4 linked regions of the Saccharomyces cerevisiae S288C genome follow. The gene in region 1 interacts genetically with each later gene. Each region holds a gene or a part of one and is shown on either strand. Other genes may lie near its edges. The genes, in order: TAM41, ADY3, VBA5 and YPQ2.

Region 1 (3,568 bases):
CTCAACTATTTGGTATTGTTCAAAATTTTCTTCAAACGCTTGTTAAATCTTGAATCAGCGTTGTTATGCACCATGGCCACATGTCTCTTATAGGCGTCTTTGCGCCTAAACGTTTTCTGACAGATAGGAAATGGGCAATTCAGTCCTGGATATTTTTCTACTTTTAGATTTAATGATTTCTCCATCTCTATATCAAGCTCTCCTATATGTTGGGAAGCACAATGTCTTCTCAGACCAGTTGCTTGTTGGAAACCCAATATTTTCCAGGGACATTGCTCTATGGGACACTTACACGGTCTTTCAAGGTTGAATTCGTCTAAGTGCGCGGCAAACTCAACTAACGTTGCGAACTTTTCAGAACAATGAGAACAGTGGTAACTTCCTCTTTTTGTTTGCCCTTCGGAAATTGTGCTGAGTACTTTGGGGTCGTGATATAGCTGTGCCACGTGCGATTTTTGGGGATAGCCTAGAATACACTGTGAATGGGATTGTTCTGTTGTATTGCTCTCAATAAATACAGGATTTGCTCCTTTTTGACGTCCATAATTAATAAGATCTCTGAACTCCGGATCAACTAATGACGTGATACAGTGTGTACTGTCCGCTATTTCATCCGGCCGTAATTGAGGTGCTGTACCTTCCTCAGTAGACGACGTAGAGTCATAAGCCTGTCTCTGATTTCCGGCTATAACTGTGATTGTGTTTTCTAATGATAGTAGTAAACAGTCCTCAGTGCTGGAAGGCAGGCTGGAAGGCAGGCTGGAATCCCCCTCTAAGGGTGATGCCGAATATTCTTTCATGTTTTGCCCGAAATCGTGCCAATGATAAATCGGTTGCACCTCTTGTAAAACCTCTCTGTTCCAAGACCCCTTGGCGATGGCACTGTTTTGTCCATAACACGGTGACATAAGTGCTGAAAATCCCAACTTCTAGTAAAGAATTAACAAATTCAACTGTATGACTTATAGGATAAGAACAATGTCAGTTCCAATGCGTTGACACAGTAGAAAATATATTTACTAAGAAGCAGCTTCGTCGTTGGTATAGTTTCGGTTGATCTAGATATAAATATAACTACAAATAAATGGCAGGAAAAATTGAAGCAAATGACACAGGACATATCTATCACATTGCTCCCTTTAATTTCCTCGAAGGCACTCTGGCCTTTGTTCTCTGCATAAGAAAAAGCCAGCAGAAAATACGGTGATATATTTAATACATGCCCGGCCACTTTTCTGCTGGTAAAGCCCACCGGAAAAGTTCGGATTTTCTTATCCAGTATACGCCGACCTTTTGATGTAATCTGTGACATCTCACTCCGGCGGCCATTTTACGTGACGAAGCATCCCTTACAACAGAAAGAAGAAAAAAGATATGCCGCTTTGCGGTTTCTTTCTGGCAATGTATGCACTCATAATGCTACTCGTTTACCCACTATCCCTGTCCAAACTAAAGAGGGAGGAAAGCACTTTTTGCATTTACACATCGTAGATTATAAAATGATCGTTAACAGGCGCTTGTGATTTTGAATTTAAGAAATGTGGACTAGAGAAGTCTTAAATCGCCAATGCTGTACCAGACTCTCTATAGCATCTAAACACGAAATTCAACTGTTATCTTAGTTTTTCACTTACCAGTAGCGCGCTTGTTATTCCCACGTTATTATTTGCCCCCACATCATAGGTCAAGTGACCTTCTCTTACCCGACATGAATAAAGAAAAGAAAAGAAATCATACCCTTCAGCCTGTTTAGCCATAAATAGTAAAGAGTAGATGTTTCGACGGACTAAATAATGTGAAAAAGGTTCTAAAACCTTCAAAACAATTAAACTTGAGAAACGTTGCTATAGGATTGAGCTAATAATTTGAATTAATAGGAGCTGCTTTTTACTTTGATATATCCTGAAGTTATGTTACGAGTTTCTGAAAATGGTCTACGGTTTCTGCTGAAATGCCATTCAACGAACGTAAGCATGTTTAATAGGCTTCTGAGTACTCAAATAAAGGAGGGGAGAAGTTCCATAGATGATGCTGGCATTATCCCCGATGGAACTATTAACGAAAGGCCGAATCACTACATCGAGGGAATTACTAAAGGCAGTGATCTGGACCTCTTGGAAAAAGGTATAAGAAAAACTGACGAAATGACTTCCAATTTTACAAATTATATGTACAAGTTTCACAGATTGCCCCCCAACTATGGAAGTAACCAGCTCATTACTATCGATAAGGAACTTCAAAAGGAACTGGATGGGGTAATGTCATCCTTCAAAGCTCCGTGCCGGTTTGTATTTGGTTACGGCTCAGGAGTTTTCGAACAAGCGGGATATTCCAAAAGTCATAGCAAACCTCAAATCGATATAATCTTGGGCGTCACATATCCATCACATTTTCACTCTATTAATATGAGGCAGAATCCGCAACATTATTCAAGTTTGAAATACTTCGGTTCCGAGTTCGTGTCTAAATTTCAACAGATCGGCGCAGGCGTATATTTTAATCCATTTGCAAATATAAATGGACACGACGTAAAATATGGGGTGGTTTCTATGGAAACACTTTTAAAGGACATAGCTACTTGGAATACATTCTATTTAGCAGGACGACTACAAAAGCCTGTAAAAATATTGAAGAATGATTTGAGAGTGCAATATTGGAACCAATTAAACTTAAAAGCTGCAGCTACTTTGGCCAAACATTACACCTTAGAGAAAAATAACAATAAGTTTGACGAATTCCAATTTTACAAGGAGATCACTGCCTTAAGTTATGCAGGTGATATTAGATACAAACTGGGTGGAGAAAATCCCGACAAAGTTAACAACATTGTTACCAAAAACTTTGAAAGATTTCAAGAGTATTACAAGCCGATTTACAAAGAAGTGGTCCTAAATGATTCATTTTATCTTCCAAAAGGGTTCACATTAAAGAATACTCAGAGACTTTTGCTCAGCCGTATTAGTAAATCAAGTGCATTACAAACTATTAAAGGTGTTTTCACAGCTGGAATCACAAAGTCAATTAAGTATGCTTGGGCCAAAAAACTAAAATCGATGAGGAGAAGCTAGTGTATCCAATGTTATCTACACATTATCTTTTATCAAAAATGTTTTATCGTCCTTTCATCTCTTTCGAAGAATCGCTCTATTCACATTCCAAATCTCTGGCGTCGGTCAATATTTATTCATCTTTATTTTTACCTTCTTCTAGATAATATACATTATCCCATATTGGCATTCAAACTGACTTACTTGCATTATGGAAGGGGGATCATACGTTCCAGTATATGCAATGGATGTCGTACTTACGAACACATTGTAGCATTTGAAGGGGTATTTCTATATATTTCTATTATTAAGGGTTATATTACAATTATACTTTATAGTTTAAAATATTTAAACAAGTTCTCAAATACTTAAATACTTCTCCATGAGGTGGTCGGCCAACTCAACATTTCCGCTTTGCTGATATATTATAATACTGTTATAGGCAGCATGTTTTTTCAACTTTCCATCATCGTAGTTTTCTAGAACTCTATTATAGTACTCAATTGCAATCGATACCAGAC
Region 2 (9,644 bases), on another chromosome or scaffold:
ACAATATATATTATATATATATATATATGTATATCAAATCATACAACTTACATAAAAACAACAAACCTGAATATTTTTCCTTTTCAAAAAGTAATTCTACCCCTAGATTTTGCATTGCTCCTCTATAACTCATTATTGGTTAAGGTGTAGATGTCACCAAGTTTATCAATGTAAAATTTAGGTCTTGGATAATCGTGCGAAATCTTCAAGGCTCTCTCTTCGGTTTCAATACCACTCAAAACGAGTAGTGTGCCACCTAACCCACCTTCAACACCGAATTTCATATCGGTGTTTAATCTGTCACCAACCATACAGCACTTTGATCTATCCAGGTTGAATGCCGATATAATGCTGTTTAGCATATTTTGATTTGGCTTACCACAGTACGATGGCCTCCTATTAGATGAGAATGCCAATGATTCAATCATGGAGCCTGCACCGGGAAATGTATAACCCTTTTGCGGGAAAGTAGAATCAACATTTGTACCAACAAAGTGAACAGAATCCTTCTGCAAATACTGCAGTGTAACAGCCAAACGGTGGTAATTTACCTTCGTGTCTAACCCAGCAATAACACAACTAACATCCTTATCAAGGCCGTTCACCAAAAATGGTGATTTAGCTGCATCGAACGGCGTATCCAATCTGGAATCGGCACCTCCTAGAGATTCGTACCCCATTAGTTTCAATTCTTCACCAATACCGCTTTCTCCAAATACCCATACCTTATCTTTGCCAGGCTGCAATTTCAGAAAGTCACGAATATAAACAGCTGACGCATAACCAGAGGTGAAAATCTGTTCTTCTTTGACATCAATACCAAACGAAGCAAACTTTTTCGTGTATGCTAAACGGGACTTGGTAGAGTTATTCGTAACGAAGATCAGTTGTTTGCCCAATTGCTTCAAAAGGTTTAGAATTTCCAGGGTGTATGGTAATGCTTGAGAACCTAACCATAATACACCATCACAATCGAACAGAAACGTGTCATATTTGTCCAAGAATTCTTGAGCAATCTCCTTATTGGTTATCTTTATTGGTACACCTTGTTGAGCAGTCATTTTCCCGAGTTGTATATTCTTTGTCAGGGCAAGCTATAAGGCTTTTTTTGTGATTTGGCTCGAGCTTGATATTTATGTCTGCTTGTTATAAACCGATTGCGTCAATTACAATTGAAAAATTCACTAAAACGGAAAGAACATTCACCGAAAAAAAGAAAAACCGGAAAGTTAATAGATAAGGGACGTCATTAATATACGATTAAGTAAATACTGAAAACGTGCTGGAGAATAGTAAAGATGTCACATCACCATCTTCAACGTCTTCCTCTACAAAACTTGAGTTGATAAAGAAGCATAGTATACACAAACGTATGTATCTCTTCAGAGAACTATATCCTGTGAGGGAAGATGAGACCATTCCCCATTATACTTCTTGAACGGGTAGTTGCGTCGAACAATCTACTTCCTATTCATATCTAAATGTTTATATAAATATATGGCTTTTCTTATCCACAGCTCAAGCCACTTATATCAATGACGATGCCATGAATAAATTGTCCAGGTTAAGTAAATCGGAACCCAAGTCATGAATAATTTGGCGAGAAATAGTTTCCACCAGGTTAGCTGGCCAGGTTGGGGCTCCCCAAATTCTTGTTTTAAGTTTCAATGCGTGAGCACCATCAATTATGCTTTTAGCACAACTGATCTCATTCGAATCCATACGACCTCTTAGCGATACTTTCCAATGATCAGAACCACAATGTTTCATTAATTGGCTGAACGAAACCGTCGCAGCTACAGATAGCTTTGAGTATTTGGGCTCCAAACTTAACAACGGCGCATCTAGAAATGCAAACCTTTGACTTGACTCAAAATAGCCGTTATCATTTCCATTGTCTAAAATATCCAATGACGTCGGGTAGTTGCCCGTTAGTATCACAGTAACAGGTCTCCAAATAATTTCATCCTTCTTCATATCGTAATATGTCAAATATCCAGAATCAATCAGAGATTTGAAATATTGCTCCATCAGCAGTTTATAAGTTAGTTCGTTATCATCCGACTTGAAATCAATATAAAAGAAGAGTGAAGTTTCTGGAGAGTTGAAAAATACACCATTTTTGCGATCGGCGTCTGAATCTTGGCAATTCACCTCGTCTAAAATCTCCAAGAGGGGGCCAGTGTATAGCTTGTCTAATGTCAATTCAACTGGGTCCAAATACGCTTCATTATGACCCACAGCTAGGATCTTTTCATCTATATTCCACACGTCGGCTTCAGTACTACTAGCACCATAGGCCAGACCTTCAAAAAGCGGAAGTTTCCTCCAGTAGTCATTATGGGAGTGAACTGGCATTGGGTTAACATCTTTGTTCAACTTTGCGATAGCAGAGTCTACTGGTAAACACTTTTTTGAACTGGCACGACGTAAGATATATTCTTTGAATACATCATAATATAAAGAAACGTGTTTGTGACGATACTTTTCCTCTGAAAAACTTAGAAATGGCAAGTTTTCCTGGAAAAATTCTAAAAGATGTTGACCGGTCAACCCAAAGTTATCAATATTCGATATTTTCTGGTCCTTTAACTTTTCCCAATCAGTTAATGAAGGATTTCTTCCCCTACTGGAAAACAAAGCACAGACAGCAATAACGTATCCAATAAGAATAGTTAGACACCCTTTCAGTCCTAACATCGCTTAACTAAACCGAGGTACTTATCTTTGTTGGTCTTATCTCGAGTCATATTTTATGCCTATCCGGCGATTTATCACTCGGAAGTTTGGATAGTTTCGGATTATAAAAGGAGACAAGATAAGGATTTTAAAACAGGCCATTGGCAAAAGAACAACATTTTATTGAATGAATATATGAATTGGGCTGTCCTTTGAAGAGGATATGACAAAAAGTGATTTATTATTTGATAAATTCAACGACAAACATGGAAAGTTTCTAGTTTTTTTTGGTACCTTTGTAGATACCCCTAAATTAGGAGAGCTGAGAATCAGAGAGAAAACATCTGTTGGAGTTCTCAACGGAATCATCAGGTTTGTGAACAGAAATTCACTCGATCCTGTCAAAGATTGTTTAGATCACGATAGTAGCTTATCACCAGAGGATGTCACGGTGGTTGACATAATTGGAAAAGACAAGACTCGAAATAACAGCTTTTATTTTCCAGGTTTTGTTGACACGCATAACCATGTCTCGCAATATCCAAATGTCGGCGTATTTGGGAATTCTACCCTGCTGGATTGGCTAGAGAAGTATACCTTCCCCATAGAAGCCGCACTAGCAAACGAAAATATTGCGAGAGAAGTTTACAATAAGGTAATAAGTAAGACGCTTTCTCACGGTACAACGACTGTGGCTTACTATAATACCATTGATCTCAAGTCCACTAAGCTCTTGGCTCAACTAAGCTCCTTATTGGGGCAGCGTGTTCTTGTTGGAAAAGTGTGCATGGATACCAATGGTCCCGAGTATTATATTGAAGATACTAAAACTTCCTTTGAAAGCACTGTGAAAGTTGTTAAGTACATACGGGAAACCATTTGTGATCCCCTCGTAAATCCTATAGTGACACCAAGGTTCGCGCCCTCTTGTTCTAGAGAACTAATGCAACAGTTGTCCAAGCTAGTCAAGGATGAAAACATACACGTTCAAACCCACTTGTCGGAAAATAAGGAGGAGATACAGTGGGTTCAAGATTTATTTCCCGAATGTGAGAGCTATACTGATGTATACGACAAATATGGGCTGCTCACAGAAAAAACAGTATTGGCACATTGTATTCATCTAACAGATGCCGAAGCGCGTGTGATTAAACAGCGTCGCTGTGGTATATCTCATTGTCCCATTTCCAACTCCTCTCTGACTTCTGGAGAGTGTAGGGTTCGATGGTTGCTGGACCAGGGCATAAAGGTTGGTCTAGGCACCGACGTTTCAGCCGGTCATTCTTGTAGCATACTCACCACCGGAAGGCAGGCCTTTGCAGTTTCAAGGCATTTGGCAATGAGAGAAACTGATCATGCAAAACTTTCAGTCTCCGAGTGCCTATTTCTTGCTACAATGGGCGGAGCACAAGTCTTGCGTATGGATGAGACCTTGGGGACTTTTGACGTCGGTAAGCAGTTTGACGCTCAAATGATCGATACCAATGCTCCCGGCTCAAACGTGGATATGTTTCATTGGCAGCTAAAGGAGAAGGATCAAATGCAAGAGCAAGAGCAAGAGCAAGGGCAAGACCCTTATAAGAACCCACCGCTGCTTACTAATGAAGACATAATCGCAAAATGGTTCTTTAACGGTGATGATCGCAACACCACTAAAGTTTGGGTAGCCGGCCAGCAAGTCTACCAGATTTAGTTGTATATGTTTAGAGGGCTACTATATCTTGTTCCAAGTATTAATGAGTAATTTGAGTATATGTACAAATTTCTTTTGCGTATCGCGCTTTAGCCGCCCATTGTACAATATTAAGATTAGGAACACAAAGAGATTTGCCAGTGAAAGAATTGCAAAACTCGGTTTGGGATTTTGAATGGGATAGTTGAATACAACAAACTTCTCCGAATATGAATCATTGGTTAGCATTTTTGAATAAGCCTGAATCCCTAAAGGAACAAAACTCGGATTGCGACCAGCAGGGGGAGATGAGACATGTTACTGATGGCACTTTAACTAAGTCTCCAGAAAGTAAACCTTTTCGAGAGCGGCGTTCACAAACTTGGATAGACTCTGAAGTACCTACGTCCACTGAAAAATCTAATGTGCAGGAAAGTATTTCTTCTGATATTATATCAAAACTGTCGAATAGGCGTTCCCGAAGAAACCGCTCAGAGAGTTGGGCAGGTTCAGAAGCCTCTTCACCTTCTGGTAACATTAGTACATTGGAAAATGCTACGGAAAAAAATACTTTAAAATCGCCTAATAAATTTCTACAAAGGGGTGGTTTACCAACTGTAGGAATAGGCTCGCAGGCTCTGTCACCTGCAGGAAAGCCCAGTACATTAGGAAATGTAAGCCCTGGTAAATTTACCACATACAAAGTACACAATAGTATTGAAGTGAATAGATTTTCTTCTACACCTACAAAGCTCCTCACGAATCCCCACAAAGTCGCAGCAATCTCAAATGATGAGCATTATGTTGTAAGCAATGAGAGTCTGGAGGAGAATATAGAGGTTGCGCATCTAGAGAACGTATTTCGCTCATCTAAAACTCCAGATGAAGAACAGTCCGAATATATGAAATTAGGAGAAATTAGGCTATCTTCTTCATCATATGGAGGAAGTATTTCTAAAGAAAATAGTTTACCCAAGGTATTAGATGAGCTCCAGTCCCAAAATGAAGAGATCAAAGCACTAAGACAAAAACTAGAAGAGAAGGATGACAGGATTCAAGAACTAGAAGAACTTAATAGCATGAATGATGCTAAACTTCAAAGAATAGAAGACTTGCAGAAGGAATTCCACAACGAAAGAAAAGCTGCATCAAAAAGGCTCAACATTGTTCAGGACCGGTTTCGCAAAGAAATTAAAAAAATTAGAGAAGAAAAAATTACAGACTTTCAAAACAAAAACGCTAGCAAGAAGGAGAAGAATGAAGTGACTAGTGCCAAAACTAAATGTAAAGCTTTTTCTCAAAGAAATATTTTAGTTTCGGAACTATACAGGAAGCAAAAACAAATCCTAAACTTGCAGCAAGAAAATGATAAATTTCTAAAAGATATTAACGAATCGAATAACTCTATAGTAAAATTAAGATCTGAAGTTGAAATACTGAAAAGCAATTTGCAACTTTCTCAAGATGAAAATAAAAAATTACATGATAATGGTTCGTTTTACGAGAAAAGGTTAAATGATGTTTACAGCTATATGCAAAATCTTTCTCTTTTTGAGAAAGACCTTGGTAAATTCATACTAGAAGAAATGAAATGTGGCCATTCCCCTTCGATGTTTCAAAACGGTTTTGCCAAGCTTTATCCGGATTTTCAAGATATCAAAAATCTTGAAAATATGGAGCAATACAAACAATTAAAAGGAAAGATAGAACTTTTGGAAAAGAATGACCGTATACGTCTTGAAAAAATCATTTCTGTCTTTAAATTGATTAATGAAAGATTACATTTTATGCAACAGCAGCACAGTCACAAAATAAAATATCTTCAAAAAGAGGCGTTAACAAAAGAACAACAATTTCGTTTGGAAAAAAGGAGATGGCATGATATCCTGAACCTCAAGGAAGAAAACTTTCAAAAACTGAAGAGCGAGTTAAAAGAAAAATTAATACTAAGTGAAAAAATTCAGAAAAATGCCGAAGATAAATTGAACGATTACATGAATGAACACCAGGAAATTGTTGAGAAACTTCAGAATCAGGCTTTGATTGCTTCAAGATGGAGCACTCAAATTCAAGAGTCAGAAAACACACATAAGAAAATTACTGACGAGTTAGCTGGAAAACAAAGTGAAATATTAAAACTCGAAGAAACAATTCTATCACTAAAAGAAGATGTATTCCAAGAGAAGCTGAATTTAAAAAAACTATATGGTGATCCTTCTACCGAACTTAATTTTGAAACTGTTGGAAAATCTTTTCCACATATAACGAAGGAAAAGTACGACTCCTTGGGTCTTGATATTCTGACAGACCTTACCTATGTGCAATCGCAAAATCTAATCAAAAATTTATTAATTGTGTTGGATATCCCATTAAAAACCTTCTTAAAAATTGTACCAACAATTGTCATTCAACTTAGATGTGAGCTTACACTTCTCACAAAATTTGCTAATGATTTGAACCTTAAGGTTTTTGGTAAACAGTTAGATTTCAAAAGTAGAAGAAAGGTCGCAATGAATGAGTTTTTGAACAATCATGATATTGCTGAAGTAAAGCATCCTCTTGAGTATGATTTGCAAGCGTTGTTTAAATATTTCTTTTCTTAGCTTTTTTTTTTTTATTTAGAACTAATATATTCAATGGTGTCATTAATTATTATTTAGAGAATAAGTTACTGGTGGGGGGTGCACCTAAAATAAAGTCACATAATATAGAGCATGGCAGATATTTTACCGCTGGTATTGCTTTTCCGAAATTTTGGTGGAATATTCTTCTGAAAGATTTCAATTTGCTAACAGACTTCTTAAGCACTTACAAGAACAATGTAACTTCTGATCTGCTGTTGGAGATGTTCTGAGATATAAACAAAATTTACATCAAAAGGCGAGTAATACAATGATACAAATGATTATAAGTACATACTAATGTTACAATTTCTAATTCCATTTTAGTCAGAATATACTATGTTGTATAATAATAAAATAATGTCCATTTCCATAGCATACTGGTAAGATTTTATTGAAATAGGCAAAGAAAAAAGCAAAGAACTCTAATAAGAACGACAAACCTCGAAATCTGAGGGGAAGGAGAAGAAAAAAAGGAAAATGAGGGGAAACTTACAGTTTCTGCCTATTATTTGTTTATTTCACCTTGTATGACCGTTGTGGTCGAATCTTTGACTGTGACAGGAGTTTTTATGTCACATTCGGAATAATCGATTGTTTTACTTTGCATAACGGTGGAAATAAAATGGTTGATTGATTCGTAGTTATCTAATTTTTGTAACTGCACATCTTTTAAAAGATTCATTAAAAATTTCGGAACCATTGCCATTTCTTCATTGTGAGTAATCAGGTAATCAACTATCTCAATAGCCAAAAAGTAATTTTCTCCCTTGTTTTGAGCGAATGAATCAACTAAACCTGATTCTGGTTCGTCAGGGACGTTATCATTGGAAATTTCTTTATGTCGCAAATATAAAATATTAGGTGTTATGACTGTGGATAAATTGTGAATGTCCATTTTTGATCCCATTTCATTCTCAATGTAAGAGAATGAGGACGTCCAATGCAAAAATGACAAAAGTGCCTCCAGTAAATTGCGATTGTAAGTGGGTAATAAGGAATATATTAGCAATATAACACGCTGTTTCTCATCCTCTAAATCAATTTTCGCGGCCTTAATCCATAGTTCATATAAGTCTGTCGATAAAATCGGTTGGGGAAGCTCTCTGATAAATTTCTTCAAAAGAGCAGATAATTGGATTGCATTTTCTTTCGAGAAGTCTGGAGCTTCTGTTGGATTACTGTCGATGTTAGCAGTTAGTTCTCTCAGTCTTCTGATATTTCCATTTTTCCTGAAAATACCTTCTACTGACATATCCATTTGCCTCAAAGATGATATTAGCTCGTCAATAATTATGGGGATCCTAATCTTCACTGGCCCCACACCTAAATCGGAATCAACACCCCATTTCTCGCACAACACATCTAAAGGAGCACCAAAAACAGTCTTAGTGATGGGCTTTTTAGGCTCCATGCTCATCATGATTTTCATTCTGTTCCAAAAGCTACCTGTGACTTGCTTTTCATTCGAGAAGACCATTGAGACTAAGCTAGTATAGTTAGGATCAGTCTTCGATATCAGTTGTTTACCAGCTAGCAGTGACAAACTGATAGCCCTTATCATCGAGAGTTCCATCGTACTTAATTCAGAGTAATAAACTCCGCTTTTCTTGGGAACAACATTCGAAGTTTCGTCATCGGTTTCTTTTAGTTTTTTAAAGTGTGCAAAAGCGTTAGGTCTTAGCTCCCTTGCTTGTTCAGCGGCAACAATACGTGAAATATCATCTAGTGTCAACGTCTTAGTATTACTGAAAACATTTTCACGTGTGCTCACTTGTTGGCTCGATGATGGGTCATCTGTTTGAATCACAAGATTTTTACTATCTCCTTGTTTTGTCGGGTCATTTAAATCTGTCTCTGCAGTTTCCAGTATCACTGATTTTCTAGCTTGTTGTTTGTTATGAGTGACCCGAACACTTTCTCTTCTAGATCTCAATCTTTTAATATCATTCAGTGTCCTAATGTAAGTTTGTTCCTTTAGCATAGTACTCTGTAAAGAGTTTCTGCCTACCTTGTTAGATGCTTTCGATTTCAACATTACAGTTCTTGATTTGACTAGGGCAATTTTTAGAAGAAAAATTAGTTGTGCTAGCTTAGTAACAAATTTGAAACCCGGCACAGAGGCCGGATCATCAATTGAGCAGTGAGAACATAGTATCTTTTTTTTCTCTTTATTAAAGGTGGGATCCGTCAAACTCCTCGGATTTATATTCTTATGGCATGAAGAACAAGTAAAACAAGCAATATGCCACCGGTGCTCATAAAATTGAATGCATTCCTCCTGTATGTATTTATTGCATCCAGCGCAACTATCTGTGGCGTTAACAGGAGTCTTTATATACTGAAACGGGTTATTTTCAAAAAGCTCATTTTTCTCTACTTCTCTTAAAAACCTCAACAATGGATTAACAGAATGAGTCAACTTATTGTTTTCTAGAGCCGTATATAGCCCAAATCTTGTTAACAGTTTTAGAAAATGGGCTAATCCAGTAATAACAGACATAAAAGATGAAATTGTGATAGTTTCGTTTTTGTTTTCTGTCCCTAACTTTCTTAAGAGTTGTAAATATATCATAATTTTTGTGGACAGATTTTTGGGAAACTTGCTGTATTTACTGGCCGCCATTGCGTTGTTTTCAATGCATTCTTGATCACTGTTAACTGGCATACTT
Region 3 (8,669 bases), on another chromosome or scaffold:
TTTAATTGGATATGTTACTCCTCAATTTCTGTTATTTGCTATTCCTTTATGCGCTCTTTATTATACCGTATGTACGTTATATCTTCGTGCATCTAGAGAGTTGAAGAGAATAGATAACATCAATATCTCTCCAATACACCAGTTATTCGCTGAAGCCATCAAAGGAGTAACTACAATTAGAGCATTAGCAGATGAGCGTAGGTTTATCACTCAATCTTTGGTTGCAATTGACAGAAGTAATGCTCCATTTTTTTATCTCAATATGGCCACCGAGTGGATCACATATAGAGTGGATATAATTGGGACACTTGTTCTTTTTAGTTCTTCTGTAATGATCATAATGAAGGCCTCATAGTTGGATGCGGGGCTAGCGGGGATACTGTTATCGAATGCCTTTTCCTTTACTGAAACTGCTCAATGGATCATAAAAGTATTTTCAAGCGTTGAACTTTTGATGAGTTCAGTAGAGAGAATAAAAGAATATACAGATATACCTTCCGAATCAAACGGCTACATATCACCTCCAGCTAATTGGCCTCAAACAGGAGATGTTGAACTAAAAAACTTATCATTGCGCTATTCTCCTCATTCCTCTAAGGCACTAGATAATGTATCATTCAAGGTAAAAGCAGGAACAAAAGTTGGTATTGTTGGTAGAACAGGGGCTGGGAAATCTTCTATTATAGCGGCTATTTACCGGCTTTCAGACTGGGAAAACGGTACGATTACTATTGATAACAAAGACATAAAACATATCCCTTTAGAGCGTTTAAGAAATTCTATAAGCTGCATCCCACAGGATCCTACTTTATTTGATGGAACTGTTCGATCTAATTTAGATCCTTTCGATCGGTATTCTGATGTACAAATTTATGGCGTACTATCCAAAGTGGGATTAATTGAAGAATGCGATGAATTGTGCTTGATTTTTGAGCAAGAGCAGCCTAATTTTTCTAGTCATAAACTAAGAAATAGATTCATTGATTTGAATACTGTTGTGAAATCAGGTGGTTCAAACTTATCTCAAGGGCAAAGACAACTTTTGTGCTTGGCACGATCCATGCTTGGTGCACGTAATATAATGCTAATTGACGAAGCAACCGCCTCAATAGATTATATTTCTGATGCTAAAATTCAGAAAACTATAAGAGAAACAATGAAAAATACAACAATTTTGACTATTGCTCATCGATTAAGGTCAGTAATAGATTATGACAAAATTCTGGTGATGGAAATGGGCAGAGTCAAGGAGTATGATCATCCATACACTCTAATATCTGATCGAAATACCATTTTTTACCGCCTCTGTAGGCAGAGTGGCGAGTTCGAAAACCTTTTCGAGTTGGCTAAAGTCTCATTCGATAATAAAAGATAAGACAACTAGAATTTCCTATTTTTATTCATTCCAGTTCTAGCTACGAAGTATACGATCTGCTTACGTCATATATTTGTGTGTAATTAGAAGGCATTCAGGAAGTCGCTTTTAACTTTTCAGGGCTATATGTCCTAATCCACTACTTTTTTTGAGAACTTTAAGAAATAACTCCTTTGAACCTGTCTGTGCCAAACAAAATTTTGCTGGTACATTTTATGGTATATAAACAAGCTACGTTATTATTACTTTTTTTTGATAGTTTTACTTATACTAGAAAATAATATTATATCATCACAAAAGAAACTCTCTCGTTAAGAATCCCGAATATTCAGCAGGAGCAAAAAAAAAATACCATAATTTAAATGCTTATTCAGTACTTAGCTGCTGATTTTATCGCAAGTATACTATTGGAGAGTACCGTGGTTCATATCGTGCTATTTTTATCTATATTTAAATTTATAGAAGTTTATCGTAGTATACTATGTAATTCTCTGCCGTATTGGCGGCAAAGACAAAAGCACTGACAGTAAACAGTTTTTCTGATGAGAATTTATGTCGAGGAACAAACGAAAATTTTGCTGGCCAAATTTGCTTACGCCTTTAATGTGATTGCGGTTGAGGTCTGTTATTACGCAGCTGCTATCATGTGTCTATTTGAGATTCTCTTTACAGGTTATCGCTGCATTTTTGTCAAGAAAAGAAAAGAAGACAACCTTTTTCTTGCACTGCGATGAGTATATTCAGGCTCGCGAATTTTCCAGATTTCTTACTAAAGACACATCTTTGAACGCACCAGCATGAATTTTATGAACTACTGATCCATATATTAATAGGTTTTAAGTACATATAGAATACTTAAGAAATTACATTCCATTGCGATACACCTATTTGATTCTGATTGTGTTGAAGTCTGTATAAAAGGCGAAAAAAAATAAAATGAAAATAAGAAAATAACTGCGCTACTTGTCTTCTAAATTATCTTCTGGTGTATCGTCCTTTTTTGGTATGATTAATTTCTTATTGGATGAAAAACTACAAAACAAAAATCCTAAGGCATAAAACCCTAGATCCATCCAAAATACGTTCTTAATGGAGTCGCTTAAAATGTTTCCAATAGTCGAATGAGAACCGTCGTAGTTTTGAAGACGATACAAAATCATGTCATCAACCGTTTTTCCTTCGTAAGGCTCTAGATGAGCTCGTGATACTTTATTGTGAAAGGAGGCGGAAAAAACAGTGGTTGAAAGCACACCACCAAGAGTTGTACCTAATGACTTCATGAATGTATTGAAAGCTGTTACTTCAATAAAGTCCATAGCAGCTTCTGGACGATCTTTGGTAATTTGAAGCTGTGCACTCATGAGCGATGCTTGTAGAGCAAATCCAAGGGAAAACCCCGGTAATAGCAAAACACCAATTTGAGTTGACTTCGTGGACGTATTTGTCATAAGTGTCATAAGCCCTGCTCCAATTACCCCAAGAACGCCTCCAAATATTAAGAGTGGTTTAACTAAACCGAGCTTTTTGGTAATCACACCACTTGCAATGGCCGCAATAACGTTGGTAATAACGATTGGTATCAAGTGAAGACCGGCTTTCCATGCACTCGACGCAAATATAAGTTGGAAAAACTGGACAGAGTATATCATTTGCCCATTGTAACCGGTACATAATAGAAATGTTACCATGTTTACTATTATTATGGCTGGTTTTGCTACCAATCTTCTTAGAAGGAGAGGCCTGTAGGATATATTATCAGGTTCCGGGTTGAATTTATCGAATAGGAAGAAATCGTACACCAATGAAAAAATAAAAAGTAAGACACCCAAAACCAAATATGTGATGACTTGGCCAGAGTTCCAACTATATTTATTACCACCAAAGGTTAGCCCCAGTAGGAAAAGGACCAGCCCTGCAGAGCAGAGGGCAAAACCAAAGAAGTCAAACTTGAAGATTATGCCATTCATAAGTCTTTTAAAATTAACTTGGTGTCTGAACTTACTAAAAGTAAAGCTCGAGATTGTTCCTATAGCATCTTTAATTTGTTGAAGTATACCCTTATTCTCGGCCTTATAGGTGAGTAAAAACATAATAATGGCAAGACCACCGATAGGAAGATTGATATAGAAGCACCACCTCCAGGTAACATGGGTTGTAAAGGCACCTCCGATTATAGGACCAACGATAGCAGCTACAGCAAATGCACAACTTAGGATGGAAATCACCAATGGACGTGACCTTTCACCAACCATCGTACAACCAATAACAAAGCAAAGCGTTTGGAGTCCGCTTCCCCCAACACCAGCAACAACTCTACCGAAAATGAGCATATTCATTGAAGAGGCAAGGGCAGCAATTAGGGATCCGGCTTCAAAAATAAGTATTGCTAAAATGAGACTATGCTGGAAACCTATGATAGATGCGAATCTTCCCCAAATGAGACTCAGAATAGCATTTGGTAAACTGTAGCCTGTAACGAGCCAACCTGTTTTGGAGTAGTTTCCGAACTGTTCTGCGACCACGTCAATAATAGTTCCCACTATCAAAATATCCAGTGCAGTTATGAATAGTACAAGAGTTAACGAAGCCAGGCAGAGGTACAAGGAAAGTCCCATTGGAGAATCATTGCTACCTCTAGCATTCAATGAAGCGTCTGAACCACATGCTCCTTCTATCTCCTGCTGCGAAGAGTACTTAGTTTCCTCCATATTTTTGAATTTCTATCGATTAAGCTCTATACCAGGTATGATCTGGTCTGATCAGTTCTAGGTATGAGTATAACTAGAATACATCTATATATATGTATATATATATTTAAACCAAAAAAAAAAAAAATTCGCTTCTCATAAAGGTGTGATGACACTATTATCTTTTGCATATTTTGTCGACTCGTATCATGTACGCGCTGCATATGAGGTGCGGCGCTATCTGTTAAATATGTACTAATTTGCACCTGCTGCAAAGGAAATGTGGCACTACTTTTACTCGCATGTTAACTTTCACCTACTATATATAGAAAAAAGGGTGTTGCTTTCAATCGCCGACTAATTTGCTCAAATACTCTTTACACAAAGGAAATTGTGTATCAGTAACCCTTACGGTTTGTTTATGAAGGAACTTTGCTCGTCCTACACCACCGGATCTAGGTACTCAATTTTTTGATGATTTTGCACTTGTGCTCATATCCTGTCGACAGGCACCGCATTTTTTTCCTTGTTTCAACAGACATAAACACAAGCTTCACTCATTAGTTTGAAAAGAGATAGTTTCGACGGTACAGTATTCTTGTCGTACAAAAGTCTTCGGTATAACTGGTTCGTTGTGGATTTTCGGAAAGTAAGTTGATTGTACGACGACAGGTCAAAGTTAAAGTTAAAGTCACCAGGTGTATAGACACCACATTGAAGGGGCGTCACAGCAATTTTTTTTATTTTTTTTTGATACTCAATAATTACGAGCATATAATTTTAGTACTTCCAAAAAAAAGTTAAAAAAAAAATAGTGACAAAATGTGTCAGTAAAATATATATGAGAACATGGAATGTATTAAAGTAATTCCATTTCTAGCAGATGTAGCGACCGTAGAATCTTAAATACTATTTACATAAATAAGAAAAGTAAAATAGTTTTATGGACTGGAACGAGAAAAAAAAAAAAAAGAATAATCAAGTAAATAAATTATCGGATGAGTTCTAGTGTTGTTGGTGCCTCAAGTAATAAAAAAAGTGGAATTAGGCAGTCCTGTGAGATTATTGAGCGAGAACGTCACTCAAACGATGACACGTACTCTATGACATCGACCTTTTTTAAGCTCAAAGAAAACGAAATTATGTCTGCACAGTTTGATTCCTTGAAATATAAAATTCTACTGATAAGTACCGCGTTTGTATGTGGGTTTGGAATTAGTTTAGACTACACACTTAGATCGACCTATACGGGCTATGCAACGAACTCATATTCAGAACACTCCTTACTTTCAACTGTCCAAGTTATCAATGCTGTTGTGAGTGTCGGATCCCAAGTTGTCTACTCTAGACTCTCTGACCACTTCGGAAGACTAAGGCTTTTTTTAGTTGCAACTATTTTTTATATAATGGGAACCATCATTCAATCACAGGCGACCCGTCTCACCATGTATGCAGCAGGATCGGTTTTCTATAACTGTGGATACGTCGGAACAAATCTGCTCCTGACATTAATACTCTCAGATTTCTCCTCCTTGAAATGGAGAATGTTTTACCAGTACGCCTCATATTGGCCATATATCATAATACCATGGATTTCAGGCAATATTATCACAGCAGCAAATCCTCAGAAAAACTGGTCCTGGAATATTGCAATGTGGGCTTTTATTTACCCACTCTCTACCTTGCCAATTATATTTCTTATTCTTTATATGAAGTACAAATCTTCAAAGACTGCTGAGTGGAGATCTCTCAAAGAACAGGCTAGAAAGGAAAGAACGGGCGGATTATTTGAGAATTTGGTGTTTCTATTCTGGAAACTCGATATTGTTGGCATATTATTAATAACTGTGTCGCTAGGGTGTATTCTTGTTCCTTTGACGTTGGCTAATGAGACATCACAAAAGTGGCACAATTCAAAAATAATTGCCACTTTAGTTTCAGGTGGCTGTTTATTTTTCATTTTTTTATATTGGGAGGCCAAATTTGCCAAATCTCCTCTTCTACCGTTCAAATTACTAAGTGATCGTGGAATTTGGGCACCCCTTGGTGTTACTTTTTTCAATTTTTTCACCTTTTTCATTTCGTGCGACTATCTGTATCCTGTTTTGCTGGTATCGATGAAAGAATCGTCCACTTCGGCTGCTCGGATAGTAAACCTTCCTGACTTTGTTGCTGCTACTGCATCTCCATTCTACAGTTTGTTGGTGGCAAAGACAAGGAAACTGAAACTTTCTGTAATCGGAGGTTGTGCTGCATGGATGGTGTGCATGGGCCTTTTTTACAAATACAGAGGAGGATCTGGGTCTCATGAAGGTGTTATCGCTGCATCTGTTATCATGGGTTTGAGCGGTCTCCTATGCAGCAATTCAGTGATCGTCATACTGCAAGCCATGACTACGCATAGTAGGATGGCTGTAATAACCGGCATTCAGTATACCTTTTCAAAGCTAGGCGCTGCTATCGGTGCCTCCGTTTCTGGTGCCATATGGACACAAACCATGCCTAACCAACTCTACAAGAACCTTGGAAACGATACATTGGCAGAAATAGCATATGCATCACCTTATACATTCATTAGTGATTATCCTTGGGGCTCACCGGAAAGAGATGCTGTGGTTGAATCTTACAGATATGTTCAACGAATAATAATGACGGTTGGCTTGGCATGTACGGTACCGTTCTTTACGTTTACAATGTTCATGAGAAACCCGGAACTAATAGACAAGGCGACACACGAAGAATTCACTGAAGATGGTTTGGTTGTCTTGCCAGATGAGGAAAATATTTTCTCTCAAATCAAGGCACTTTTTAGACATAATCGAAGTAACAAGAAATCAGGATGTTGATCCCCAAGCTGGTGAAAAAAGGGCAAAAAAAAAATGAAAGCAAAATCACAAAAAAGGCAAAAACAAGTGATTTCTACATTTTTATTACTTCCGATAAAAATGACATAACAGGATAGGATAAACATGCTCGATAGACCCACATTTGAACTTGCGACGCATATAGCTGTGTCGTACTTTTTATTTTCACAAGCGTCGGTAAAAACTCAGCGTCGGTAAAGACTCAGCGTCAGTAAAAGAGTCAGCGTCATTGATATTAAAAGTGCGGGAGGAGTTACTATCCAATAAATGATGCTGGAAATGCGCTCTGTATGAATGCATTAATTATGTTGTACCGAAAAAGAAAGAAAGAAAGAAAAAAAAGAATATCATGTAACTTCTAGTAAGGGCGTCATGTCATAGCACTTTTCTAAGTGTATGCCATTGTAAATCATTCTAAGCGAAAAAAAGTGATATGTCTCCTGGTATTTTGTATTGTTGTCGTTACAAGTTGATGTGTTCCGTAGTGTGAGTGCAACATGCGATTTTGGTACCGCAAAAAAGGTACAGATCACATGGGCACAGATACAACAATTCTTTATGCCTGTATTGAGATCATAGTTTTCTTGGAGTCGGCAACAGTCTACGGGTGAACCCAATAATCCAGCAGTAAATCTACTAACCGAACATTGTGTCGGAATTTACACATTACTGATATAATTCGTCCCATTAAACTTGCTGCGAGTGATTTCCAAAACAAGTACTACATTGAGCGTGTTCAGCGTGCCCAAAAGAAATGGACTTGAAAATCTTGTTGAATTAACTGTATATCCTTTAAATTAGCTGCCACAATGATAGCTACCTCCGCGATATATTGACGTTACTAACCTTTTGAGATTCTTCACCAATGTTGCAGCGTGATTTAATTTTGATGAAATCATTTTTGTTGAAAGAGTAGGATCCTGTACAGGCTGAAATATACTGTTCTTCAATATATCACTTATTTTAAATGATACAGCCATGTATTTTGGGGATATCAGAGATAATATCATACCCGATTGAGCTGGAACTCCTAGGATTGTTGACAGATGTCGACTATGGCTCCTTACTAACAGAGTATGGTTGTGAAGCTAATACAGATAATGTCTCACTCGTGCAGTCACATCTCCATTGAAAGCTGTGGAGTTTTTCCAGACACCAGTAGCAGCGCCAATGGCAGCACTACAGCGAAAGTTGAACTCATAGCACATCCCTGAATCGTGGACAGTTAATGTATGTTGTTGTGACTCAGACGATAACGATAAGCCTCAAAAAGTTGTGTCCTCTCATCATCCTCGAGCACCAGTATATCATAAGCAAAGAATCTTCGATAATGATTTGGAAAAAAAGCGAAAGCGAAGCCAATGTGTTTTATTACTGCTGCATTACTGAAGAGATATAAGAAGCGCTAACTCAATTACAAGAGCACATAACGGAATTAATCCTGCGAAACAGAACAGTAATTGACACCCTTATAGTAGCCTTTTTTAACAGTTAATTATGGAAAACTGAGTTTGAAATTCAATGTTAACGCAAGTTTCTGTTATTTTTGCGAATCTAGACGGTCTCAACGAGACGATATGCTCTAAGATTCTACTTCTCTGCGGATGATTCTTTCGGTTATCGATGCCCTTTACCAAGGCCTCTCATACCATAGTATCAGAAGAGCAATGCATATTCATTCATAGATATAATGTGATATGGAGAGCAATAATTAAATTTATGCGAGAAAAATGTGTTCAATAT
Region 4 (7,880 bases), on another chromosome or scaffold:
AAATCGCCAAACTGCAAAGGTTCTGAACGATTTGATTTAATTTTCAATGGACAGTTTTTCGTAGATAAATGGCGCAGATTTGTAATAGGTAGAATTGTGTATGTCCCTGCGCTACCCATATGTTTAAACAGCGGTGAAGTGACCATTTGAGCCAAAGGCTGGGAATAGACACGGCATATACATTTTAACATGCCAATAAGAACATTAAAGTGAACGCTTGGAAGATTTGAAAGCCCATTCTTGCCAGTACGCCAATAAAGTGTGTCGCGCAGAATAGATCTTCATGTAATTCCTTTTTCCCTTTTATGCAATCTATAATGTTAATCAGCGTAGATCACTATATACGCTTTTTTTTTTTTTTTTCAGCTCCGATTAGAGAGCAAAAGAGATGTAACATCGATCCTGCTATAATTAGAATACAAGTGTTGATCTTTAATTGTACTGTTTCTGCGAAAGCTATCGAGCATTTGGCTGTATTCCACTGTCCATTGTATTTTTAACTCTCCTTTTTATCATTCTGAAACATAGAGCTGTTTTGACAAAATTCAGTTTTTTCTCAATTAGTGCTTTCATTCATACGTTCGTTACAAGCTTTGAATTTTAACTTTATTTTCGGGCTTCCACCTTTGCTTCATTATTTTACTTCAGCTCTTTAGCTTTCTGTGACATTCAATTTTATTGTATGACAGCACGTCGTTTGATTAATATAGTTCCTAATACGTCTAAGCTAGACCCTTTAAAGGAGGAGGACTCAACGCATCTGAAACAAAATCAACCTAAGAAGTTTTCCACAAAGGAGTTGATGCTTTCAGAATATACCGAACGCAAAAGTTGCAGCCTTCCGTTGTCTAAATCCCGATCAGGCAGTAGTGCATCCAGTAGCACTACAGGTTCGAACGGAAAGAATATTGGAACAAGACGCCCTAGCTCCAACCTAGATTTCAATTTCGCTAGCCAAGATGTTGTTAAAAATGTATTAGGTAATAATAATCCACACGTACCCACAGCGAAGTGCATTAGGCCAATATCAGATGATTCTATAGGTACATCGAGCACAGAGATATTTTCTTCATCGCACTCAAATACGACATCTGATTCTTTATGTACATCAGATATAAGCTCAGAAGAGGGTGAAATAGCAAACAGTAAGATGGAGGATAACTGCTTCTTCAAAAGTATGAGAGAAGCTGACCATAGAAGCAATATTACGCCCTTAAAGAAAAGCCGACCGGGATCAATACTACAGAAAACACGTACAGCAAGTAGCGCTGATAAAACAATCTGCTCAATGAGTACCATAACTACATGCATTCCATCTCGTCAAAATTCGGTGTCAACTCCTAAACTCTCCAGGACAGTAGGGCTGCCTGGATCGAGCAATACAACCAACAGTATAGCCGCATCACAAACTTCATTCATAAGCGAGAATGACTCTCCTCTTAAACATCATTGCATGAGTACCGCAACTATCCAAGAACCAAAACTCATGCCGATCACAAAAACGCCGTATGTGCATTCCAATAGTACTTCTGTAATATTACCATATAAAACAACCCAACTTACTCCTTCTCAACGTTACCGTTTAAGGAAAGAGCAAAATGACCAATCTTTGCGTAAAGCCATAAAAATGAAAGAAAAATTTTATGAAGATCAAGACGTTAACTTGGAACTTCAAGAGGGCGATGTCGACGGCTCGTTAATTTGGAACATTCCAATGGCATCTTTATCGACCAGTTCTTTTTTAACATTATCTAAGTTTAATAGAAAAGAAATGAGTTTAGATTCAGCGCGGGGGGATGAAGAGATATTAATACAGGAGAACAATTGCGAAGGCAAACAACACTCATCTTCGGCTCTCTGTGTGGACAAAACTTTCCATCAGGTTCATAGTACTAGAAAACATACATCAAATTCAAGTAACACTTTAAAAGAATCATGTCTGGACTATAAGGAGCTTCCGCCAACATGCATTCCTGGTATATCTCCTGTGTCTGATTCACAGTACATCCAGGATACAATGAAAAATCTCTCCCAAATATACCTGCATAGTTCCGAAAAAATCTCCAAAAGTATTCTTTCTGGTCGTTCAAGATCTGTACAGAGTTTACCACTGGAATTTAAAGAAGCCAGTAGTCAGGGAATGGAAGACCTAATGCTAGTTTCAGAGGACAAACTAAAGGCCGTAAGTCATTTCCGTCCGAGTTGGCTCCCGCCCAAGGATTTCAAAGAGAGGAAATTGCAAGATAAACAAATCTACAAAAATATCGACTTAGCATCAATGGAAGAGTTGCAAAAAAATAAAGAACGTGACGAAAAAGCCAAAAAGAATGAGCAGAATAAGGTCAAATTCCAGCATTTACTGGACCGAGGCATTACTCGTAACTCGTCATTAAGTGAATTAAAGAAAATTATTTGGGAAACACCTTTGATATCTAAAGTACGGCTTCAAATATATAGTCAACTTCTACAAAGTGACAATTGCTTGATAACAAAATGTTTTATTGAATCATTTGAGGAAGTAATGCAGCTACTCAACAAAATGGATTTTCCCAAAGATAAAGAATTTGAAATAAGACAGCTTATTGAACACGATGTACAGGAAAAGGTTTTTTATAAAAATGGAACAGATAAGCAAGTGGTTTCTGACTTGATGCTATTACTGCAACTGAAATCTATATCTCAACAAGGTTTGGTTACTGGTGATGAGATGCTATTCTACCATTTTTTAACTGATCAATCTTTTGGGACTTTGAAGGAAACATGGGAAATGGTCAACTTGATACAGATGACGTGCTTCAGTGAAATTTGCAAGGAAAAATACGATTCAAGAATATTAAATCCCAGAGGAATTGTTGCCCATCTTTTACGAAAAGATGAGTTCAAAAATGAATTCAATGGCGGATGTTTGAATAGCAATACATGGTGGAACATATTGCAAAGAATGGACCATAAACTTTTTATGTGGGTAATGGATGTAATTATCGTTCATAATGGCCAAAACTTTGCAAACTACCCCGTAAAAATGGAAATATTCAAAGACAAAGTATGGGAATACTATAGATCTAAGAAGGTTATTGTAAATTATAAGATTTTGGTTTCACTAACAGTTAACGTATTGTTAAACTACCACTTCGGATATGATAATCTGAAACATTTATCAGATTTGGATGATAAGCATTTTTGTATTCCACTGTATACGGAGGATAGTATCGAAGAGGAAAACCTCAATAATATTTTCACAAAGTGGTGGTTGCACTACTACCGAAAATTACGTTAGCGTGTATGTGGCACGTACTAAAAGTTTGGTGACCAGACTATCTCTTCTTAAGTTCATTTTCACTCTGAAACTTATAAATGCATACATACAGAAATTACTTTCGATTAATATAATAATATATTTTTAATAAACAATGAACTAATGCCCTTATTGTGTTTTGTTATTAACCTTTTCATCACCATTTTTTTTTGCTAGCTTCTACGGCATTCACTTACGTGCTGCAAAATTTCGCAGCATGGAAGAAATTGTTCGCGAAGAAAAAAGATTTCGCTCAGTGATTTGTAGTGACAATAGGTACCAGTGTTATCACTAAGTATATCTTTTAGTATATCTCTTCGCTTGAGGAGGGATCAAAAAAAAACAAACGTAAACGTGCACATAAACGTCAAGTACTTTTTGCAGGCATTAATATTCGTCTCCAACAAAGACAAATAAAGAAGCAATCTTTTCATTACCTTAAGCCAGTATCTATTGATATCAATCGATAAGGTTCGTTGTTATCGGTGCTAAAAATTATAAAGTGAAAATAAGAATCTTTTCATGTCGTGCTCAAACGGCATCTGGCCTACTGTATCTAATTTGTGCGGATCATTATCCTTCTTCACCTCTGTTATTTCATTGTTTCCACAAATAATTGAGACTTATCGAGATAAATCTGTCGATGGGCTATCGCCATATTTTTTGCTGGCTTGGTTATGTGGGGATATTACCTCGCTGATAGGGGCAAAGCTAACAGGGCAATTGTTATTTCAGATACTTTTAGCAATTTATTTTCTATTGAATGATTCTTTTGTATGTGGTCAATATTATTACTATGGCGTGCTGCATGAAAATAAATTGGCGACTGTCGGCCATGAGCCTAAACCTCTTCTTCCCGAACTGGTTGAAAATGGTGAGCTTTTGAGGGAGGAAGAGGACATGATACAAGGTGGTAGCAGTGCAGAAAGCCCTAGAAGCAGTAGAAGAAGGTCTGCCATTACAGCAGCCTTGGCTATAGCTCATACTATAAGTACAGCTAGCGCATATCCGCTAAATGTAGGCTCCACCCAATCACAAGTGGGGCCTCCCGGAGATGGTAAAAACAGCCAGCTGGGTACAATTTTATCTTGGATTGGCGCTTCCTTCTACGTAGGCGCACGTATCCCACAACTAATCAAGAATTACAATAGAAAGTCTACAGACGGCTTATCTCCCTTCCTATTTGCTACTACACTACTCTGCAATATCACGTATAATTTGAGCATCTTCACAAGCTGTAGATTTTTAGATAATCAGAACAAGAGGGAATTCATCGTGAATGAGTTGCCCTTTATATTTGGAAGTGCTGGAACAATTGCGTTTGATTTGATATACTTCTACCAATACTATATCCTTTATGCAACTGATATGCAACTACGTGAACTGGAAAGAGAACTATACAGTCCTGAAGAAGACAGTGCAGCGCAACTAGTGACAGAACGTACATCACTGTTGTCTGGTGAAACGCAAACATAGTTTTCCCTACGGAGTACTACCATTTATATTTAAACAATGCACTCTGCTCTTGGGATAGTCCTTGCGAGACCCTTTTTTCCCAATAGGAATACTACGTTCGTACTCTGTGTAAAAGTACCCAACTATAGTTAGCGCCAGTTTTACGTAAAACCGTCTATGTCTTGTTTGCATTCGCAACAGCTACAAACACATATAGTTTGTCACACTAATATTAATAATGAAAGTTATTATGTATTCACTGTGAACGCTTCAGTATACAGTACGGCAGTAAGTGTTTCATTCTGTTCTGGATTAATAATCTTTCACTTTGCCTAGCCATTTGGGGGCGGGTTTTGGCTGGGTTAGCTTCTCCTTAGTCATGGAGAAAAAAAATCGCCCGCAAGTATCTCGAAAAAGGAAAAAATGCCCACGCGTATAAGAGTGGACCCAACTGCTCGAGGTTTCAAGAGCTTGTAGATTAATTTCTGTAGTTCAGTTATACTTGCCTACAAGTGCTATACAGCAAATAGCGAACAGTACGAAAGTAAACATCATATTATCAATAATGGTTCACAACAAAGTTACTATCATTGGTTCAGGTCCAGCTGCACACACCGCCGCCATCTATTTGGCCAGGGCAGAAATCAAGCCAATCCTATATGAAGGTATGATGGCGAACGGTATTGCTGCCGGTGGCCAGCTAACCACCACTACAGAAATCGAAAACTTCCCAGGTTTCCCAGATGGTCTAACAGGTAGCGAACTGATGGACAGAATGAGAGAACAATCCACGAAGTTTGGCACTGAAATTATCACGGAAACAGTTTCCAAAGTTGATCTGTCTTCCAAACCATTCAAGCTATGGACCGAATTTAACGAAGACGCAGAACCTGTGACGACTGACGCTATAATCTTGGCCACAGGCGCTTCTGCTAAGAGAATGCATTTGCCGGGCGAGGAAACCTACTGGCAAAAAGGTATTTCTGCCTGTGCCGTGTGTGATGGTGCCGTCCCCATTTTCAGAAACAAGCCATTGGCCGTCATTGGTGGTGGTGACTCTGCATGTGAAGAAGCTCAGTTCTTGACCAAGTACGGCTCAAAAGTGTTTATGCTTGTCAGAAAAGACCATTTGCGTGCTTCTACCATTATGCAAAAGCGTGCTGAGAAGAACGAAAAAATTGAAATCCTTTACAACACTGTTGCGCTAGAAGCTAAGGGGGATGGTAAATTATTGAATGCCTTGAGGATTAAGAACACTAAAAAGAATGAAGAAACCGATTTGCCAGTCAGCGGTTTATTTTATGCAATTGGCCACACTCCAGCAACAAAGATTGTCGCTGGCCAAGTCGACACTGATGAAGCGGGCTACATTAAAACTGTCCCAGGCAGCTCATTAACCTCCGTTCCAGGATTTTTCGCTGCTGGTGATGTTCAGGATTCTAAATACAGACAAGCTATTACTTCTGCTGGCTCTGGTTGTATGGCCGCTTTGGATGCTGAGAAATACTTAACTTCCCTAGAATAGATGAATTTTCCATTATAAAATAGATACACTCAAATTTTTGTATACTTATCCAACAAATCGTTACTTTCTCCTTTTCTTTAATAAAAAGCAAACCATGAATTTTATTTCTTTTCCCCATTATTAGAGAAAGCCAATACATAATCTACATATATTGCGTGTCTGAATTAAACTTTTTAGACACATGACATAGGCCATCGGCTTACTTTGTAACGCGTGGTTGCCTATACACCGACTATTAAGTTATGACTAATATTATTGCTGCGCTTCCCCACCTGCATTTTTCTTGTCGTCTTTGCCAAAAGGAAAAAAAAACCTACGCAGATTGACTCTCTAAAAAATGATTCATGACCAGACAATTCAGTAAACATAAACTCTGTTGCATTCATTCTTCTGGAAAACTTTATAATAAAGCATCTGATATTACAGCTACTGACAACTAAGTGAATTTAAACTGCAATAATCACAAGAAAACTTAGTATTCCCTTATCATGTCCGAGGCGACTTTGCTATCTTACACCAAGAAATTATTGGCTTCTCCGCCGCAATTGAGTAGCACAGACCTACACGATGCGTTGCTGGTTATATTAAGTCTTTTGCAAAAATGTGATACAAATAGCGATGAGAGTCTTTCCATCTATACCAAAGTTTCGAGTTTTCTCACGGCCTTGAGAGTTACTAAACTTGATCACAAGGCTGAATACATTGCGGAAGCTGCAAAGGCTGTGCTCAGACATTCCGACCTTGTTGATCTACCTTTACCCAAGAAGGACGAATTACACCCGGAAGATGGACCAGTAATCTTAGATATTGTAGGTACTGGTGGTGACGGACAGAATACTTTTAATGTTTCCACGTCTGCTGCTATCGTTGCCTCCGGAATTCAGGGCCTAAAAATTTGTAAGCACGGTGGTAAAGCTTCTACATCCAATAGTGGAGCTGGTGACCTAATTGGAACTTTAGGCTGTGACATGTTCAAGGTTAATTCATCGACAGTGCCCAAACTTTGGCCTGATAATACGTTCATGTTTCTACTTGCTCCTTTTTTTCATCATGGAATGGGCCACGTTTCTAAGATACGCAAATTTCTTGGAATTCCGACTGTTTTCAACGTACTGGGACCACTTCTACATCCAGTTAGCCACGTAAACAAGAGAATATTGGGCGTTTACTCAAAGGAACTTGCGCCTGAATATGCCAAGGCAGCCGCTTTGGTATATCCAGGAAGCGAAACTTTTATAGTTTGGGGACATGTTGGGTTAGACGAAGTATCACCTATAGGCAAAACTACTGTCTGGCATATTGATCCGACATCGTCCGAACTTAAATTGAAGACCTTCCAATTAGAACCTTCTATGTTTGGTTTAGAAGAACACGAGTTGTCGAAGTGTGCTTCATACGGCCCTAAAGAGAATGCGAGAATTCTAAAAGAAGAAGTCTTGTCCGGCAAGTACCACCTTGGCGACAATAATCCTATTTATGACTACATCTTGATGAACACCGCCGTGTTATATTGTTTAAGCCAAGGTCACCAGAACTGGAAGGAAGGGATCATTAAGGCAGAAGAAAGCATACATTCTGGTAATGCATTACGTTCTTTAGAACACT

What was found.
Region 2: mutations in TAM41 (region 1) and ADY3 together harm fitness more than expected from each alone (negative genetic interaction), as found in Saccharomyces cerevisiae (one large-scale study listed by BioGRID).
Region 3: mutations in TAM41 (region 1) and VBA5 together harm fitness more than expected from each alone (negative genetic interaction), as found in Saccharomyces cerevisiae (one large-scale study listed by BioGRID).
Region 4: mutations in TAM41 (region 1) and YPQ2 together harm fitness more than expected from each alone (negative genetic interaction), as found in Saccharomyces cerevisiae (one large-scale study listed by BioGRID).

Annotation. Positions count from the first base shown.
Region 1 is NC_001139.9:582,985-586,552, forward strand, and holds TAM41 (putative phosphatidate cytidylyltransferase), read left to right. Parts: upstream 1-1,910; coding exon 1,911-3,068; downstream 3,069-3,568. Other genes in the region: RME1 (Rme1p), read right to left, coding at 6-908; YGR045C (uncharacterized protein), read right to left, coding at 950-1,312; transcription factor TFIIIC subunit TFC4, read right to left, coding at 3,408-3,568. UniProt on the Saccharomyces cerevisiae protein: Catalyzes the formation of CDP-diacylglycerol (CDP-DAG) from phosphatidic acid (PA) in the mitochondrial inner membrane.
Region 2 is NC_001136.10:23,713-33,356, reverse strand, and holds ADY3 (Ady3p), read left to right. Parts: upstream 1-4,581; coding exon 4,582-6,954; downstream 6,955-9,644. Other genes in the region: PHO13 (4-nitrophenylphosphatase), read right to left, coding at 123-1,061; AIM6 (Aim6p), read right to left, coding at 1,528-2,700; GUD1 (guanine deaminase), read left to right, coding at 2,903-4,372; GTPase-activating protein LRG1, read right to left, coding at 7,481-9,644. UniProt on the Saccharomyces cerevisiae protein: Involved in the pathway that organizes the prospore membrane (PSM) during sporulation. Mediates the assembly of the DON1 ring structure at the leading edge of PSM during meiosis II.
Region 3 is NC_001143.9:656,382-665,050, forward strand, and holds VBA5 (basic amino acid transporter), read right to left. Parts: upstream 4,084-8,669; coding exon 2,335-4,083; downstream 1-2,334. Other genes in the region: putative multidrug transporter NFT1, read left to right, coding at 1-355; YKR104W (uncharacterized protein), read left to right, coding at 455-1,375; GEX2 (glutathione exchanger), read left to right, coding at 5,061-6,908. UniProt on the Saccharomyces cerevisiae protein: Transporter required for vacuolar uptake of basic amino acids.
Region 4 is NC_001136.10:1,177,984-1,185,863, forward strand, and holds YPQ2 (Ypq2p), read left to right. Parts: upstream 1-3,817; coding exon 3,818-4,771; downstream 4,772-7,880. Other genes in the region: ATP22 (Atp22p), read right to left, coding at 1-191; SBE2 (Sbe2p), read left to right, coding at 683-3,277; thioredoxin-disulfide reductase TRR1, read left to right, coding at 5,316-6,275; TRP4 (anthranilate phosphoribosyltransferase), read left to right, coding at 6,764-7,880. UniProt on the Saccharomyces cerevisiae protein: Amino acid transporter that moves arginine across the vacuolar membrane. Active during nitrogen starvation when it exports stored vacuolar arginine to the cytosol, for use as a nitrogen source.